Caenorhabditis elegans: one gene and its partners. The protein of the gene in region 1 purifies or fractionates together with the protein of each later gene. This does not show direct contact. Each region holds a gene or a part of one and is shown on either strand. Other genes may lie near its edges. The genes, in order: ile-1, acs-18, Y17G9B.8 and sft-4.

Region 1 (4,759 bases):
TACTTCGCCGAAATCGTTTTTGGCTCGGAAGATGTTTTAGAAGAAGAATCTGAGGAACAAGAGAAGGATACCAAAAAGAAGGAATAGAACATTTATTTTCGAAAATTTACATTTTAGGTTCTTGAGTTTGAGCTTTTAAATTAAATATTCAACTTTAAAATTTGTAAATAATATAAATATAAACTGTTTTTCACTGATCCACAATCTTCCGTCCAGTATCGAACTGTTTCTGATCAAGTCGCCGATTTTGTTTAGGACGTCCTGTTTGATCACCTTTCATACATCTTCGAATCGCTGCGATTGGAACAACTTGATGTTCAAAATGAACAAATCTGAAATAAAATAAAATATGATTTATTGAAATAATTATATATAAATTACCTGACATGTTTCCCAATTACGAGGTACTCGGGTTCTTCAGTTTTTTGAGCATCTCGAATGATTGTGGCATATTGAATTCGGATATCCAAATTCGAATCACAACTTTCCAAAATTCCTGAAATGTATAGTTTGAATTAAAAATGAAAATAATCTCCTACCAATCACATAAACATCGTTGCGAAGCTCCACAAAAACTTTTTTACCAGCCATTCCCTGTAAAACTGCACCACATCCAGATTCGAGTCGCTTCTTTTCATTTGAAAACTCCATTATCAAATTTTATTGGATCTTTATTTACGAGGATTTCCTTTCTAAACAATACATTTTTATTTAAATAAACTACCATCGAATGCACCATTCAAATACCATACAAATCGAAAAAAATAACGGGGGAAATCTGACTAAAACACAACACAATCAGGGGTGAGATGATATTATTTACCAGGGGATTTTTTGAATAAGAAAATTCGTTGTGGGGTCGCGATAATGTCGTAAATACGCTGTATTGAGAACAAAACATCACATTTGACGACAGGTTCGAAGGGGAAAGACATTGTTAGTTAATGATGGTTAGAATGCAATAAATTAGTAGAATTTGGCCTTGTCTTGCTTGCTTCGTACAAAAACGACTGCAACTATGATGGCTGATTGAATGAATATGATTAACATGAAGATGGTTGACGAGACGCATGAAATGTTCGGGCAGTTCGCAGCGGCTCCAGGTCCACTTGTTTGAATTTGAGTTGCTCTGACTGTTCGTAGCTCATTAAGCAATGAATCAACTTTTTGATGCATGCTGCTGTCTACTCCACCTGCACCAGCACCACCTTGCTGAAAAATAAGCATTTAAACACTAAAAAAGGGTTAGGTGAAAACTTACAGCAATTTTTTGATCAATGTTATACGTTTTGGTGAAGATTTCATTGACATACTGTTTCATGTCACGAATCGTTTGAGTTAAATCTCGCAATGACGTTATAACTTCATTTTTCTCGTGTTGTTGGAAGCTTCCGCCAGCGGCGACTGGAGCTGGTGCTGCTCCACCGGAGTGAGGTACTGCAGCAGCGACACCAGACGTTTGAGCCTGCTGGATTTGTGCTAGCCTCTGATCCATGTTCTGCATAACCTGATGAATAGCGTTTTGAGACTCATAAATTAAACGAAGTTCGCGAGCAGTAGCATCCTCATAATACTTATTTGGATCATACTCGTCGTCTTCTTTCACTTTATCCGGATGTTGCTCCTTGAATTTGGCTCTCTCCTGTTCATATTCTTTCATCTGCCTCTCGAACTCTTCATCATATTTTTGTTTCTCTTGTTGTGGAATCTGCTCAGCAACTGGCACTGGTTTCTGTTGCTCGTTGAAAAGAGAGAATACAGAGAAGTCCAAAACGTCGTGGTCATCAGCAAGACCGCCGGTAGCAGCAGAAACGCCGAAGTATCCATTACGTGGAAGGAAGATGTTTTCAGCACGCATACAAAGCTCGTAACGAGGTGTTGGTTGCATACCATCGTCAATATGAACTGTGAGTACATTCTTCAAATATTCGATTCGAATGCGAACTGGATATGGCTTATTACGGAAATCTCGTTGGCAACCTGAAAAATATGTTGGTTTGGTGATTTTTCTTTAGAAAACTTACTAGACAAAATCTGTTGTGATCCATCGGTATGATGATCATATGATCTGGTTCCATCATTCAGCATAAGAGACACCTGTGGGTTGTTCTTTTGGCCATCGTTGTCGAACGAATCGAGGAACAATCCCATACCCGTCCAGAAATCGTTTCCTCCGAAAACTGGTCCAAGGGCTCCAAGTTGAGAAGTGTACCAGATTCCGAGACCATCTGCTCCGACACGTCCCTGTCCTCCAATTTTCAGAGCGATGTCTACCTGCAAATGTGTTTTTTTTTTGGATATTTTTCTTAGAAACTCACCTGGAAGTTTTCACTTTCTAAGAAAGCTCTCTTGTTCCACGCAATACCTTTTCTGCTTCTCATTGATGGAGCCAATCGGAGCTGTTCACCAGAAGCAATAGCATCTCCACTAACCTAAATCTCACGCTTTTTGATTAAAAAATTGGAGAATTATTTTCTTACAATCCAGAAAGGAATAGATCCATCGCGTTGTGCAAGATTTGGAGCACGGAAAGAATGCTTGTATTCGAACCTGTAAATTAAAGAGGAAATTACTTCAAGGTTTTTAAACTTTAAAAACCTACTTCTTGAAAACCGGAGTATTTTGTGCTTGAATGGTAACGATTACGGCCAGCAGCACGAGTAGAACCCGTGATGAGGTCATATCTGGAATGCAAATGTTTGCTTAGCGAATGAAAATGCAAATATCGTGAGAAAATTTTGGAGAAATGAAGGAAAAACTGTAGAGAAACTCGGCATAAGCCAACCGTACACGTCGACGAACTGCGTCTGCACACAACATAATCTACGCACAATTGCGGACTTTCCGGTATTTGCATTAAAACCTTTTTTGTTAGAAATTCGTGAAGTGTTGACAAAATAAATCGGTTTGCGCTCAGCTCTGCAGCCGGTAGGCTCGAGCCTGATATGTAAATAATATGCACTTCATGATTGCCATTTTTATTTAAGCAGTTTTTGACTGATGAATACAAATAATTATACAAGCAAAATACATTTAAAAAAATATGTGTCCAGTACTAATCAAGAATTTTATACAAACAGAAGCTTTTAAGAGTTTAGTTCATTGAAATAGTAGACAACTCTGCTCAAATCAGGACCCACGAGATGTGCCAAATCCCTAACATTTGCTAAAAATTGCTCGTTTTCTGCAGCTTCTGGAATCTCAGTGAGTGCATCTGACAAAGTCGTTATTGATCCGTTAGAGAACACGAGAAGAGTATCAACAACTGGAGAAGCTGGACGAGGAGCTCCTGGACAGAACTCAGAAAAGCCATTTGAGCAAGTTGAGCCATCAAGGAGATCACGACATGAATTAAAATCAACCCATCGAAACGATTGGTCACAAAGAAGATCACTTGGGCGAAATTTAGCCTTGTAGCGCATTTTTGGACACGAGTGAATGTAGTATCCCATATAGTAATACTTGAGATTCGAATAAATTGCATGAAGACGTTGAGTTTGCTCGATTTCTCTGTAATTACAATTTATGATTGAAAAAAAACGAAGGATATGCCCACCTCAAAGCTGTATATGTTCCCAGGGACAAAAATGAATATTCCGGATTATAATACATGTATTTGGCCGAAAAACATTTTGGTAGAATATCAACGACACAAACAGCAATCAGTTTATCATCTAGAAGAAACCAAAGATGGAATGAGCCCAGCTCTATTCTGAAATTGAACTCATTTTTTAAGAGTAACTGGCGAATTCCCTAAAAGCTACATTTTGTGATTTTTTCTCCAAAAATACGGTACCAGGTCTCATCACGGCAAAATTTGTTGAACCCAAAACGCGCGCCTTTAAAGGGTACTGAAATTTTAAAATTTCGTTGTTGGGGAGTTTTTATCGAATTTTAATAGGTTTCCTCACTCACGATATGTTAAAATTCATGCTCTTTGTTGTTGTTGAGTTAAAGGCACCGTTTTGTACTTAACAAAACATTTTTCGTGTCGAGACCTTGTATTTTTTGCGTAAAAATCGCAAAATTTCGCGTTCGGGGTAATAATAGCTCACCCTCCTCTTTGCTCTTTTTTCAATGGAGAATCACAGAGGAATCTACGAAAACCGGCAAGTCGACAGTCTTCGTCTTTGTGAATAGTATGCTGGTAATTTTTGTACAATTCGAATGATTCGTTATCTCTTGTTCCAAATTCATCTCCACCGAGAGAAACTAGTTTTACTTCGAGTTTATGTTTCCAGTCAGGACGAGCTTCATCGATGTACGATTGAATTGTTCGTTGACGAGCTGCATCTTTTTGACGACGTTCGGTTCGGACAACATCGGGATCCAAATTCTTTTGACGACATTTTTCTTCAAATCTGTAAATTGAAATTATTAATTATTAAACTAAATATTGGAAAAAGTCTACTTTTTATTGCGAATTTCCTTTTTTGTCAAAACGGGTCTATCCGCATCTTTCATTTTCTTCGTACTAACTTCGTGGGATTTCAGATTTTTCTTTGATTGTTCAGATTGACTGCCGGACCCTTTTAAGTTCTAAAATTCAATTATTGTATTTTCACCATATCACCCAGACGCGAAAACTTGCGTTTTTGCGCCTAAAATGCGGTGCATGGTCTCGACACGAATTTCTAAAAAAAATACAAAAAGGTGTGCTTTGAAGAGTACTGTAATTTCAAACTTTCGTTGCTGCAAACTTTTCTTCGATTTGTGAGAATTTATTTCACAATTTGTTAACATTTATTTGTTTTTAATT
Region 2 (5,511 bases), on another chromosome or scaffold:
TCAAACTATGAAGCTATATTATATTTTCTAGAGAACTTTAGATTTCACATATTTTTCCAGGCACCGCCTAAAATCGAGAAGGACGGAGATGACGGAGTATCACCATCCCCAGTTCCAGTCAGCACTCCACCAGTGCCTTCAACTATTCCAAGTCCATCCAAAGTTGTTCCAAATCCACCACAAAAGTCGCTAATTACTCCAACTGTTCCACCTTCGATGATCCAGACTGTAAATCCTCCAACAGTGTCTGCTCTCCCATCTCCATCTGTTTCTCCTGCTCCAGTGCCAACAACCTCATGTGCTCCTCAGAAACCGTTGGTCGTTCAACCTCCAGTCCCGTTTGCTCCGAATCTGGCAGCCCAGACAGGAATGAAAGTATGTTTATTAGGAAAATGATTACAATGTCTAGAAATTATTTCAGCAGCGCCCACCATCCAACAACAATGTGGAAAAAAGTCTCTACTATTAAAAAGGAAAATGGACATTTAAATGAACTTTTTAAATAAGTATTTGCTGTGAATCAAACTTGGATGATTAATATTTTGTTCCTCTTTAGCTATTTTTCCTAGGCATGTAAAGTGTGCAGTAAAGGAATGGATACGCTTCACTAACAATAATTGGCCAAGCATTACTACACTGGACACACTTAGAAAGTTATTTCTCAATTTTTCATTTGATCTTGATAATTTCAAACTTGCTCGAAGTATGAGGAGAGCGATACACTTTTACCGGCTGCATGAAGAGGGATATAGCTTCCCAATTGTTGAATATCATTTTGAAATTTTTTCTATATTATACTATTCAAAACTGGAATCAAAATCGGTAAACAAACTTTTTGTAAGTTTTATACAAGCGATTAACAAAATATTGCAAACATGATGATGAAAAACTAGCTCAGTGTACAAAGTACAGTTTGAATAGATACATTTCCAGATAACATAAAAATTCTATCCAATCGTATTTTTGATTTGGCGAGCCACTGAAATTAGAAGTATAGCCATTAACGTAAACTTGTAAAAAATCTCCAGCAACTGTATTGATTGCACTCTTGAAATGACCTGCTGCCGTCCCAATCAAATCTCTTTTGTGGCGAACGATGGGGTTTTCAGACAGCTTTCCTTCTGGAAATAATATTTGATTTTCTATCATTTGAAATCAATAACCGTTACTAAAAGTATGTGTTATCTCTCTTTTACGTTTTCCAATTACATCCTCTGCCTGATAGAGCAATCCTTCGGCTTCACCAACAATATTATCAGCAATTCCAGCAACGGCTCCAAACAAGTCACGACGTTTTCTTGCAGGAAAAGAGTGAATTGATGGTGCAACCATTAGAACAATTATGATAGATATAAACTTCATTTTCAGTTTATTTTGAATTATAACATTGCTCTGAAGCTCGTTTTATATTGATGAAGTGCGTATAATCACAAGAAAAGTTCACATCAATACAGGAAGTCGAATTGTTTTTCCCTGATTATGATAATCATGTATACGAAACATTAGAAACTACAAATATTTGTGTACTTTACTGATAGAAAATTAAATTTATTTCGGTCTGTTGTTTGAAATTTGGCATGGTAGGCACTTTTACAGGCGTTCATTTCTTCTTGAAATTTTTGTGATGTAAAAAACTTTGACGAGTTCTTTTAAAAAAAAGGCAAAAAGCAGGATTAGTTTGAAAAATGTTGAAAGTTTGAAAAAGATAAAAAAGTTCTTAAAGATTTAAATTAACTTTAAGCGTGACACAGTGACATCTTCTACGCGGTTTTATCTTCAACTCACTGACAGTCAGTTTTCAAATTATTTCGTCTTAATTCTCGTGTGAACAAATATCTTACAAGTGACTCGCTGTCAGCTTACAATGTCCTATCGAGGATTAAATTTGATTACCCGACAAGTGATTTCACGCTTGACATTTCGATATTCTGGTCTTTTTACTAGGATTACTGTAAGTTGTGAAATTAAATTTCTATGGCGTCTCATAGAAATTGTGCGCGCGTCCTATAACTACCATCATATTCCGTGTTTCAGTACCCGATTTCCGTTCAAGATCGTGGATTCTTCTTTGGAAAACGTCGTGTACCAAGATGTGATCTAAAAAACCAATCGATTATTCAAGAAGATGGAGGTAGAAAGGCTGCGTGGCTTGGAGACGGTCCTCTACAACACGGATGGTTTGAAGGCGTTTTGACAACATATTCAGGGGTTTAATATTAATCAGATGTTTCAATAGACCAACGTTTACTTTAGATCCGTCGTGGACCAACTGTCGGTGGAAAAGAAATGTTGGGGAAAAGAGTGATGAAAGATGGAAAATTGGAATGGGAATGGATTTCATATGATCAAGCATTCGAAACATCTGATCATGCTTCACAAGCTATCAGAAAGTTGGGAATTGAAATTGGGGAAGAATCAAAAATTGGTATCTACTCGAATAATCGTCCAGAGGTAAAATAATAATTTTCAATCATGACAATCAATTGTTTCTGAATATTCAGTGGATTCTCTCAGAAATGGCAATACATAACTTCAGCAACGTTTCTGTTCCACTTTACGACACTATTACTAACGATGATATGCATTATATTACTAACCTTTGCGAAATTTCTTTGATGTTCGTTGACGCCGAAATAAAAACTAAACGTAAGTTTTTTTTTCTGAAAAAAAAGTGATCTACCTTTGTAAATTTCAGAACTCATTCGCGATAAGTCCTATTTATCAAGCTTGAAGTATATCGTTCAATTTAACGAGTGCTCAGATGACATTAAAGAAATGGCACGGGAAAATGATTTCCGTCTTTGGAGTTTCAATGAGTTTGTAGAAATGGGAAAGAAACAAAAGCATCGTCCACATGTTCCACCAACACCAGAAACATTGGCAACAATTTCATTCACTTCTGGAACAACTGGACGTCCGAAAGGTGTTATGCTGACTCATTTGAATATGTGCTCCGCCACAATGTCATGTGAAGAGTTTGAAAATGAAGCTGGAGTTCAAGATGCTTATCTGTCTTATCTTCCTCTTGCTCATATCTACGAAAGACTCTGCCTACTCTCTAACTTCATGATTGGATCGTAAGAAATTCAACTTCAATAATAATTTCCCGGTTTCAATTAACTTCAGGCGAATCGGATTTTCTCGTGGTGATCCCAAGCTTCTAGTAGATGACGTTCAGGCTCTGGCTCCTCGGTCATTTGCTACTGTTCCACGTGTTATTGATAAAATCCATAAGGCAGTCATGAAGCAAGTTCAGGATAAACCACTCAAGAAAATGATTTTGAATGCGGCAATAGCCTATAAACTATACCATTATAAGATGACGTAGGTTCCGATGGAACAGTTGAAAACACTTTTTAATCATTTTTTAGAGGCAAAGCTACTCGTAAAACATGGGTAGATAAGTATGTTTTGCATAAAATCCAGATGCTTCTCGGTCCTAACATCAGACAATTGATTCTTGGAGCTGCAAAATCAGACGTTTCCGCAATGAGGTTTGCTCGTGGGGCTTTTGGAGTTGAGGTTCTGGAAGGATACGGACAAACTGAAACATCTGGACCAACAACACTTCAATTGGTTGGAGATACACGTATTGGATGTGTTGGACCACCGATGGCTTGTGCGATGATAAAATTAATTGATGTTCCTGAACTTGGATATTCTGTTGATAAAAATGGTGGAGAAGTACTTGTGAAGGGTCATAACGTCACTTCAGGATATTACAAGAATCCAGAAGCAACTGCATCATCTTTCACTGAAGATGGATACATGAAAACTGGAGATATTGGAAGATTCACTGCTGAAGGATCTCTTCAAATTATTGATCGACGCAAAAACGTTTTCAAAATGCCACAAGGAAAGTTTGTGGCTCCAGATCTCACAGAATCCCTCTACACTTCTTCGAGTTTTGTCCAACAGATTTACGTTCATGGCGATATGGAAAAACCGTGGCTTGTAGCAATCGTTGTCCCAGATCCAGAGGTAATAATAATAATTTTATACTGTTTCAGAGAATTTCATATATGTGAAGTTCGATTCTTCTGTGTTTCTTTTATCGCTGATAATGATTGCGAAATGAATATTGACACTGGAGACTCAAAGCCGTTGATAGAGAATGAGATAGAGAATGACAAAAATGTCAACACTAGAATGAAACCGATTTTCGTCCGGTTCCATGGTGTAGCGGTTAGCACTCAGGACTTTGAATCCTGCGACCCGAGTTCAAATCTCGGTGGAACCTATCGTTTTTGTTATTATTTCTTCTAAAAACTTTTTTTTTCAGTATCTTGCTTCATATGCGCTAACCAAACACAACATCAATGGGAAAACCTATGAACAATTGTGCAACATTCCGATTCTCGCAGATGATGTGCTGCGACAATTTGTAGAACTCACAGAAGAAGATAAAAGGCCAAGATATGAAGGGGTACTGTTTAGGAATTTAGGAATTTCATGTTTATCACTGTTTAGGAATTTCATGTCAATAAATATTTAGTTTTTAACTTTAGGTGTACGGCGTTCACTTGACGCCAGTTGCTTTTTCGGCTGAAAATGGGTTGACAACACCTACATTGAAGAATAAGAGAAATGCTATCGCACAGTTTTTCAAAGCGGAAATTGATGGAATGTATAAGAAGATTGAGACTAGTGAACTTTCGAATTTGGCAAAATGAACAATAATGAAATTTCTGGAGAACTTAAAAAAGGCTTCTCCCAACGATCTGAGAAATTAGTTAAAGGTAACATGGAGATTGCAAAATACCATGTATTGAAGGCCGAGTAGCTTGAAAAAAATTGTTAAATGACCAAGCTTGACAACATTCGCGAATATGACATTTCCTACTCTACATGTTTTTGTTTTCAGATGTTCTTTTTTTCGAAGAGATTATAGTTTTCAAAGAGTTTTAACTCCACACAGACATCATCAGAGAAGAACAAATAAATCTAGTGAATTTCCCAAGTCGGTTTTTGTGAAAGATGGGAATCTTACTGTTCTCCCATATATTTTTTAAATAAAAGCAATGACAGGGTGTGTCTAGGCATATTTCGTTCAAAATATGAATCTCATTTTTCCTCTCTTCTTCTTCGCCCTTTTGGTAAGTATATAATGTTTAGAGTTTCTGTGTATGCCTTCATTTACAGGTTGGATCAAACGCCCAATTTCAACAATTTTGCAATTACTGTGGATTCATTGAAGTTCCAAAGACTTGGCCAGTAGCTCAAGATTCTCTGAGAAGTGCATGTGAAACACTTGGAATGGCAACAACAGCGTGCAAGGGAATTATTAATTCAGCTGACTTGAATTCATCATACGGTAAAATGTACCCGTATATTATTTAATTGAAGGATCTTGCATGCAGCAAATATTGTAAAGATCGTCGTATTCGTTATTAAATTACGAGAATAAATGTTACAGTCGTCTTGAACTATTGAAAGTTTAATGAGTTGTAATATCTGACACTATTCAAATTTTGATACATATGCTAAAATCTATGGGAGAAAAAATGGCGA
Region 3 (4,161 bases), on another chromosome or scaffold:
ATCGTGAATCTTCTTCTTCTTTGCTGACACTCACAAAAACTGATGAAGTTTTTTAAAAAATGGTTTTATCGATAAATTATTATTAATCTGCCAATCACTTCAGTACATTTACTTTTTTTTTAGTTTTCTCTTTCATTTTTGCTTCAAATTTTTTATAAAATTTTAAATCAACGTTTTTCAGAATGTCAGCTCCATCTCGCACCGTCCTTCGCGATTTGACGGCGACCAGATACGTCGCCAACTACGCCGAAGAAGATCGCTTGGAAACCGCTCGAGCCGGTTGCTCTTCCCTCCCACCACAACCCAACATCAATCATGATGTAATTATCGAAGGGCACGGAGAAGATGTGGAGCTCGTCGAAGATGAGAACTACTGTTCCGTTCATCGTATCGATGAGACTCCAAAGCTCGTCGACAAGAAACCGAGCAAGACAATCATCCGCGATGAAGCTGTCAAAGTGCTCCGGCACATTCAGACTGTGCCGATTGAAAATCTTCGTCTTAAGCGCTACGACTATTTCTCGCAAAGATGGTTCCACACGACCAGAGAATCGGAGAAAGCGCTTGTCGAGCACGTGTTTCTTCATCCCAACCAACGACCACATTATTTTGCCGCTCAGTGCCGGAAGCTGTCGGTCGAGGATATCTCTAGTTTGATTCTGGTTAGTTTCTTGGCCATATTTTTGATAAAGCATAAATCTCATTTCAGACTTCTCTCCTGACCGAACCGAAGGAAACGGGACAAAATGTGGCTCGATTTGCTATCCAGACAACCAATGAAATGTCGTTCCAAACGTTATTTGCATTGCTCGAACAACTAGAGAAGGAAAACGAAAGGTTCCAAATGACAGATAGCTTTGTGGTTGCAACCCTGATCCGATCACAGACGAAGAGAGTAAGTAAATCGGTTTTATATTACACACAAATAACTTTTCATGTTTCAGACTATCACTCGTCTCCTGAGAACCACACACTGCCGGGAATACGGAAATCTCGAGCCAGGACTCGATTCACAAGGCCGGCTGATGACTTCGACTGCATCAATCACGTGTTCAATTCGAGGAAAGCGCCACGTGGAAACGAGGATCGTGTACAAGAACAACTCGAGCACCAGGGATCCTTTCCGAAGAAATAGAGTGAGTTGTATAGCAATAATTCTATCGATTTCCAATTTATAACATTTTCAGTACATCGAATTGGAGCAAACGGTGAAGTGCATGAACCGGCGAGTGCTGATTGTCGAAGAGCCAGTCGAAATCCACGAATTCGAGGTCGAAAAGGATATGATCTCGCTGGAAAACGGAATTGCGCCAGTCGACGACCTGATCTCGTTTCTCGAAACATTCGAACTGGATGAAGAGGACGAGTAACTCCATATATGTCCTATAATTAGTAGTAATGTGCATAAGTCTGTATTATTGTATATGTATTTAAATAACCGAGTGGTTCCTGTTGAATATTCCAACTAACTTCCCCTATTTTATTTTCCTTTTTTGTTTTAGTTGTTTTATGTATATAGATTCTCCAATGCCCAAATTGTGACAACCCACGACTATTTTGTTTATATTCGACATGTATATTGCCCGCATTTATTTTGATTTTTTTTCAAAGATGAATTTGTTTGAGGTATAATTTTACAATGCATTACTGCTCTGATTGATTGATTAGAATATGAATTTCAACTATTCCCGGCTTTTCACTGGTAAATTACTCCATATACGTTATTTTCCCACCGCAACAACCTGGCCTTTTCATTGCCTCATTCACAGCATACGACTTGTAATGTCTGCACTCTCCCCGTCTCATCACGTAATCAGGTCTCTCTCGATTCTTCCCGTTTAAATATATATCTGCTCTATTGCACCTCTTCATTTCCTTGTTCAGGAAAATAGCATAATTTCAAAATGCCTCGGAAGAAGAACGATGTGCAAATCACCGAGGAAATGAAGAAGAAAACCGCCGAAGAGGTTATCAAAAAGGTGAGTTTTATTTATTTATTTATTCCTAGTTTTGAAATTAATTTTCCAGCTGCCAACAGTGAAATCGAAGCAAGACGCTATCAACGAGAATCTGCAAAAACTTCAAGAATTCCGAGATAATGAGCCGAACCCCTATGGAAAGGGTAAAGTGGGTTTTTTTAAACAATTTTTATAACTAATTTTTGCGAAATCCAATCATTAAAAATTCAATATAAATACAGTAGTCTGTTTAAAGGGGCACGTGGTTGTACGGCTGGGTCTCGCCACGATTTTAAAGTTTTCTTGCAAATATCAATTAAAATCTTAACAAAAGAAATCAATGAAGACCAAGTTTTAGATAAATTTTTAAAATTTGAAGTAAAGTTTTGAATAGTTTCAACAAAATTTTCGGGGCAATTGCCTCGAAAATCTGTTCAAATTTGCAATCTGTACAAATTCGGCGATTTCTGCATGCTGTGCACAAATTCGGTTGAAATCTGGGTATATTCTGAACGGGTTTACTGAGAAGTTTCCATGGTTTTCGATGGAATTTCACATTTTGTCACCAGCACTCATCGATCTGTGGAATCACAACAATCATTCATTAGGTTCGTTTTCATCTTTAATCTCTCAAAATTAAAATAAATATTACAGAAATCTTTTGGACGAAGTAAAACGTGTTGCTGAAATGGATTATCGCTCCCAAATGGCCGGAGACATCAGTCGGAGAGATTTAATGGAACTGATCAAGGTTCGCGGCGACCTTCTTCCATTATGGACCAGCCATGACACACAATTTCCTGGAGAATATGTTGGAGCTATTGCACCACAGGATGGCTCGAAACTAGGCGACGGAGATTCAGTGGCGGCATTCAGTAAAGACGGAAACTGGATTCTTGCTGATATTGTCACATGTCACTCTAACTCGCGATATGAGTGTCGAGACGTTGATGATGACAAGAAGAAGTTGACAGTTTTCGCGAGAAGCCATTTGTTACCCCTCCCAAAATGGAAAGCGAATCCTGCATCAGACAAGCATGCACTTTTCGAGAAAAATGCGATTGTGTTGGCGTTGTATCCACAAACCACTTGCTTCTACAAAGGTACCAATTTTCACAAAAGTTTCAAAAATAAAATAATTATTTTCCAGGAATAGTTCACTCCCCGCCAGCAGATTTTCGAGAACCATATCAAGTAGCGTTCGAAGACGACAGCTATGCATCAGGATTCTGCCCTCCAATGCCGGTTGCTCAGAAATACGTGGTTGCCTTCCGAGAAGTTGCAGGGCTCACTGCATCAACTGCTCCAAAAAAGGGAAATGGCCACAAAAAGAAATGAGGCCATAATCCAATTAATTGACAGTATTTATTGTATGTAACTCCTAAAAATCCCGGAATTCCTTCTCATAAATCTCACAATGTTTTTTATTTGTCCATAAAAGTTGTTCTTATCAAAAATAAAACGTGTTATTATTGGCGGCAACATTATTCGAAAATTATACAAGAGAAATAATTCAGAGAGTGCAGAAAAAATTAGAAAGTGATCCAATGCGTGGTCTTGATTATTAAAAATTAACGTGATTTTAAAACCAGAAAAACATTTTGATTAATATATCTGCACGATCTACAATGATAAATAGTACATAGCCGTCATCCCATCATTCCTTCTCACATCATAACCACCTTTGACAGGATACTCGTCACATCCCGTCAATCCCAACGGCAAAAGAACAAAAAATTCTCTATCCACAGTCTCCTCAGCATCGAAAGCGCACTAGAGATAGCTATCTGCTAGATATTCTATACCTTCAAAGAGTGATTCGAGAAGATCTTCGTCTCACCTGAATGCAGTAAAATCGAAATTCGCAGATTCCAGTTTCCTGTCGACTCCGTGAATCCAGTGTTTCAAAAATATATTGACATCTTTGATTCTTAGATAAGCGACGAATGCGGAAGCATTTGTCACTATTTAGTACATCATTAAGATCATATTTCAATGATTGGTGTAGTACAACTATGTCCATGTTACGTGTTAAAACCATTTGCATTTGTTTAGATGCTTCTATTGAGAACGGGTTTTTGCTGCTTGTACAAATTGAATCAGTTTTACCGGAAAACTGTTTCAACACATGTTCATATAGCAAACTGTTAAAGCCAAACACTGTGCCTAGCTGCAAATCCTCAAACTCCAATCCTTCGAATTC
Region 4 (4,286 bases), on another chromosome or scaffold:
TGCAATGACAAAAAACGATTTTTTTCAGTGCAAAACTTATTGTTTGTCAGTGCAGCATTTATTGCAAGACTGTGAATGTTAGTGTACTGATTTCTGTTTAAAAATAAATTCACGTTGTAATAAATTAGGAAAATCAATGAAAAAACGCAAATGTTGCATACAATGCGCCCTTTTTTGGTGTGGGGGAACGCACACGAAACGCGCCAAGTGGTGGCTGCTGACGCATTTGCTACCTCACAACATGTAACAACGTGGAACCAGTTGCAGCTCTCGTAAAAACAAACATCTTTTGTGATTTTTCGCTCAACCAGTTTTACCGAAAACTTTATGTAACATTACTTTTATCTTTTTTTGCGTTTTTTCTGTAGTCTTTCGATTATCTTCAACTTCTAATGTATTTTAAATCATAATTCATTCATAAAAATGGTTGAATTCAATGGCACCTACTTGGCAGGTGGTGATACTCGGGAGCGGTGATATACTCTCTTTCTCCTTCCTTTTCGAGAGTGTCATTTCTATTTTCAAACCACAACCACCACATCAGCTCGCGTGCGGCTGCGACGCGGTCTCTCTACATTTCGTGTGCCTCCTCTTCCTCCATTTGCCCCTTTCGGTTCAGTTCCCCTTCTTTTCTCGTCGCTTATGTTTTCGTTTTCATTTGTCCGGAGAAAACCTGTTTAGGAAAGAGTCGTTCACATAAACGCCCGTCACTTATGCCCGTTGACATCCAAACTCTTACTTTTGAACCGCTTTTTTCAACCAGTTTAAGGTTTTTTCCCTAGCTTAGTTTTTACACAACTGTAGCGGAAGTGATAAAGAATAATTTCCATTCTCTATTGTACATTACTCATTTACCCAATGACTTCGCTGTACTATTTCCGCAAGTTCAGTATCAATTCTGTGTATACGATGACGTGACGCGGTGTATTCATTGCCAGTGTATTCAGCGAAAGCTGACGTCTTTTTGTCAAACTTTAAAAACAAAATAGATAACCCAACGTTTGCTCAAAATACACTTAAAACCCAGCTTTAAAACGTGTATCATTAAAGATTTAAAAATTTTCAATTCCGTTCCAAATATCCACCATTCATCGGCGCGGCCATCTGTTGGCCAGTTTGATAAACAAAAAGTCGTGACCGCCTTGTGTGTTGACATTGTGCAGCTTTGACGGTTTTCCTCCTACCTGGAGAGATGTTATGTTTGGCGACGATTGTTCTCATTTTAATTTCCATTTTTCATATGTCATCCGATTTTTTGTGTGTGTACTTGTTGTTAAATACGTCATCCGCGGTGGCTCATTGGAAATTCAGAAAACCCAGAAAATGGGAAATTTACGTAGGCTGCTTGCGCCAACAAAGGCAATAAATGTCTTCTCTACTACTCTCGATATTTGATAGCATCTAGACTAGTTAGCTCTTCGTTCATTAAATTAATGCGCCACTGCCATAGTATTTACAACCTTTTTGATGAGAGGTTATCTCTTCTCATGTTATCTCATCTTGTCTGATTACATTTTCATTCAATCCGATCTGTCCCTCTATTATTCTCAATGAACACAAAAGATATATTAAATCGAAACAGTTGTGTGTAGTGTTTCGGAAAAGATACTATTGATCCGTTGACCTCTAATACTGGCGTCAATCGTAAGAGAGACGCAGACAGCAATACACATCTTTCGTAAAGTGCACATGCCACGTGTTCCATTTTGTAGTCATTCATTCAATCCACCATCTAATCCTTCGATTCTTCTCTTCCACTCATTCTCTTCCAGCATTTTTGTTCGTCGTCACCGCCCGTCTCGTTTTTTATCAACTTCTTATCATCTTTCCGATTTTTTTCTTAATTTACACTACACTTTTCCAAACCTATTTTTTCAGCTCTTGGAAAATGAACCAGTTCCGGGCTCCAGGTGGTCAGAACGAAATGCTGGCGAAAGCAGAAGACGCCGCTGAAGATGTACGTAATACCTCTAAACTATTATATGAACTATGAACTTTAAACTTGCGAATTTCAGTTCTTCCGCAAAACAAGGACCTACCTACCCCACATTGCTCGCCTCTGCCTCGTCTCCACATTCCTTGAAGATGGAATCCGTATGTACTTCCAATGGGATGATCAAAAACAGTTCATGCAAGAGTCTTGGTCTTGCGGTTGGTTCATCGCAACTTTGTTCGTCATCTACAACTTCTTCGGACAGTTCATCCCGGTTTTAATGATCATGCTCCGCAAGAAGGTGTTGGTCGCATGTGGAATTCTTGCCAGCATTGTCATTCTCCAAACCATCGCTTACCATATTCTCTGGGACTTGAAGTTCTTGGCCAGGTAATCATTTGTTTCCTTTGAACTCGCAATAAACGTAAAATTTCAGAAACATTGCCGTTGGTGGAGGACTTTTGCTCCTTCTTGCCGAGACACAGGAAGAGAAGGCTTCCCTGTTCGCCGGAGTTCCAACAATGGGAGACTCGAACAAGCCAAAATCGTACATGCTTCTTGCCGGACGTGTTCTTCTTATCTTCATGTTCATGTCTTTGATGCATTTTGAGATGTCCTTCATGCAAGTTTTGGAGATTGTTGTTGGATTTGCTCTCATCACTCTCGTCTCAATTGGTTACAAGACAAAGCTTTCCGCGATTGTTCTTGTCATCTGGCTCTTCGGACTTAACCTTTGGCTTAATGCTTGGTAAGTATTTGATGTGGAAACGAAACTATACAATCTGAAATTATCACAACATGATCGGGATAGCTCAGTCGGTACTGGTGGCCGCTAGCAATCATGAGGTCACTGGTTCAAGTGCTCCCTCTAGATTCTGGATTATCAGCCACAGTCCCGGGCTCAAGTGTGACTCGAACTAAAGCTCACTGGGTGTATAACTAGCCAGTGCAATTGACACCCAGATCCGCAGTGAAGAACAGATCACTCTTAATGATGTTATTCAAGTAGTGTCGGAAAATTAAAAAGTATAGAAAAATGACGTCACAACTGTATTGAAATACACAAAACTTGTATTTTAATACAGCTGTGACGTCAAAAATGTATTAAAATACATTTCGCAAAATTACTTGAATAACCACTTTAATCAAAACAAAAAAACCAATTATAACAATTTGACGCTTGATTAACCATAATTGAAACATTGATTTTTCAGGTGGACCATTCCTTCCGACCGCTTCTACAGAGACTTCATGAAGTACGATTTCTTCCAAACCATGTCCGTCATTGGAGGACTTCTCCTTGTCATTGCCTACGGACCAGGAGGAGTGTCAGTCGATGACTACAAGAAAAGATGGTAGATACCCCATTAACACCAGTACTTATACGCATTTCTATGTCAAATCATTGCATTACACTCACTCACCCCGATAAATTTACCTGGATTGTTTATATAATTTATGAATCTGTTTCGATTTTTTCGATATTTCCTTTAATCAATATATTTAGAGTAGAACGTTTTCCCTCGGTTTCCCATCCAATGCTTCTTGTCGTAATGTTACAACTTCATATCTATTTCCTTTTATTTTTTTTTGTCATTTTCTTCCTTTCCCTAAAACTTCATGGACTATATGGGTTGTTTTCCAATGAAACTCTCCCTACAAACTTCTATTTTTCTCACACGAATCACAACTAAAACAGTCATTTTTCCACCACTTTCCTTTACTTTCTAATCGGCCTATCCCAATTTTCTTCTGGTAGTTTTGTTCCCGTAAAGAATAAACATTTTTCTGTCAGACAATCATTTTATTTGTTAAAGTTTTCTAATCACCCGAACAGTGAAAATAATTTAGCTGCTTGAAAAAGAAGACCCATTGGTAATACAATCAAAATAGAATTAACATGAGACGAAGAAACCGTATATCAAAAACCAGAAAGTGCTTGTAAGATGAAAAAGGCAGTCATCAAAATGATGCACATAGTTTCAAAGTAAATAAGTAGTAGAAATAAGAAAATTTTCGAATTTAGAACAAAACGGGAAAATTTTTTCACGCATCATTGAAATGTTCAGCCACATAAGACGTCCGTTTCACGGGTTGACGTGGATTGACAAGTGGCTTTCCATGTTTATCCAAGAATTTCTCGAGCACCAAGCCTCCGCTGTTACTCTCCACTTCATCTTCCGATATTCGACATTCGGCAATGATTTTGTCAATCACGTTGTCTGCATCGAATCTGAAAATGATTGAAAAATTAGGAAAAGAAATGCTCAGAATCAATATTTGACCAATTTTCAATTATTTTTATGGGACTCAATTCAAACATGAAACAGTAGAGTAGAGGAATTTGGGTCAT

Evidence for each region.
Region 2: the proteins of ile-1 (region 1) and acs-18 fractionate together in Caenorhabditis elegans (co-fractionation; one large-scale study listed by BioGRID). This does not show direct contact.
Region 3: the proteins of ile-1 (region 1) and Y17G9B.8 fractionate together in Caenorhabditis elegans (co-fractionation; one large-scale study listed by BioGRID). This does not show direct contact.
Region 4: the proteins of ile-1 (region 1) and sft-4 fractionate together in Caenorhabditis elegans (co-fractionation; one large-scale study listed by BioGRID). This does not show direct contact.

The regions. Positions count from the first base shown.
Region 1 is NC_003279.8:9,608,851-9,613,609, forward strand, and holds ile-1 (L-type lectin-like domain-containing protein), read right to left. Parts: upstream 2,685-4,759; 5' UTR 2,683-2,684; coding exon 2,603-2,682; intron 2,551-2,602; coding exon 2,481-2,550; intron 2,433-2,480; coding exon 2,319-2,432; intron 2,275-2,318; coding exon 2,025-2,274; intron 1,981-2,024; coding exon 1,262-1,980; intron 1,213-1,261; coding exon 967-1,212; 3' UTR 694-966; downstream 1-693. Other genes in the region: aqp-9 (Aquaporin), read left to right, coding at 1-87; K07A1.15 (Sm domain-containing protein), read right to left, coding at 191-332, 382-496, 540-651; ate-1 (Arginyl-tRNA--protein transferase 1), read right to left, coding at 3,087-3,510, 3,557-3,712, 4,056-4,361, 4,412-4,539.
Region 2 is NC_003282.8:10,309,960-10,315,470, reverse strand, and holds acs-18 (Long-chain-fatty-acid--CoA ligase), read left to right. Parts: upstream 1-1,805; 5' UTR 1,806-1,864; coding exon 1,865-1,951; intron 1,952-2,034; coding exon 2,035-2,208; intron 2,209-2,253; coding exon 2,254-2,451; intron 2,452-2,501; coding exon 2,502-2,646; intron 2,647-2,695; coding exon 2,696-3,077; intron 3,078-3,126; coding exon 3,127-3,324; intron 3,325-3,371; coding exon 3,372-3,981; intron 3,982-4,046; exon of another isoform or gene 4,047-4,067; intron 4,068-4,161; exon of another isoform or gene 4,162-4,252; intron 4,253-4,282; coding exon 4,283-4,426; intron 4,427-4,508; coding exon 4,509-4,673; 3' UTR 4,674-4,723; downstream 4,724-5,511. Other genes in the region: R09E10.8 (Saposin B-type domain-containing protein), read left to right, coding at 5,058-5,096, 5,143-5,340.
Region 3 is NC_003282.8:4,756,449-4,760,609, reverse strand, and holds Y17G9B.8 (SGF29 C-terminal domain-containing protein), read left to right. Parts: upstream 1-1,769; 5' UTR 1,770-1,979; intron 1,980-2,028; 5' UTR 2,029-2,492; coding exon 2,493-2,566; intron 2,567-2,612; coding exon 2,613-3,061; intron 3,062-3,108; coding exon 3,109-3,296; 3' UTR 3,297-3,433; downstream 3,434-4,161. Other genes in the region: memi-1 (MEiosis-to-MItosis transition associated), read left to right, coding at 183-662, 710-895, 945-1,136, 1,188-1,370; Y17G9B.11 (PID domain-containing protein), read right to left, coding at 3,668-3,748, 3,799-4,005.
Region 4 is NC_003284.9:5,778,315-5,782,600, reverse strand, and holds sft-4 (Surfeit locus protein 4 homolog), read left to right. Parts: upstream 1-1,878; 5' UTR 1,879-1,888; coding exon 1,889-1,957; intron 1,958-2,015; coding exon 2,016-2,323; intron 2,324-2,369; coding exon 2,370-2,681; intron 2,682-3,147; coding exon 3,148-3,292; 3' UTR 3,293-3,726; downstream 3,727-4,286. Other genes in the region: sym-3 (C2 NT-type domain-containing protein), read right to left, coding at 3,980-4,166. UniProt on the Caenorhabditis elegans protein: Endoplasmic reticulum cargo receptor that mediates the export of the yolk proteins from intestinal cells by recruiting cargos into COPII vesicles to facilitate their secretion.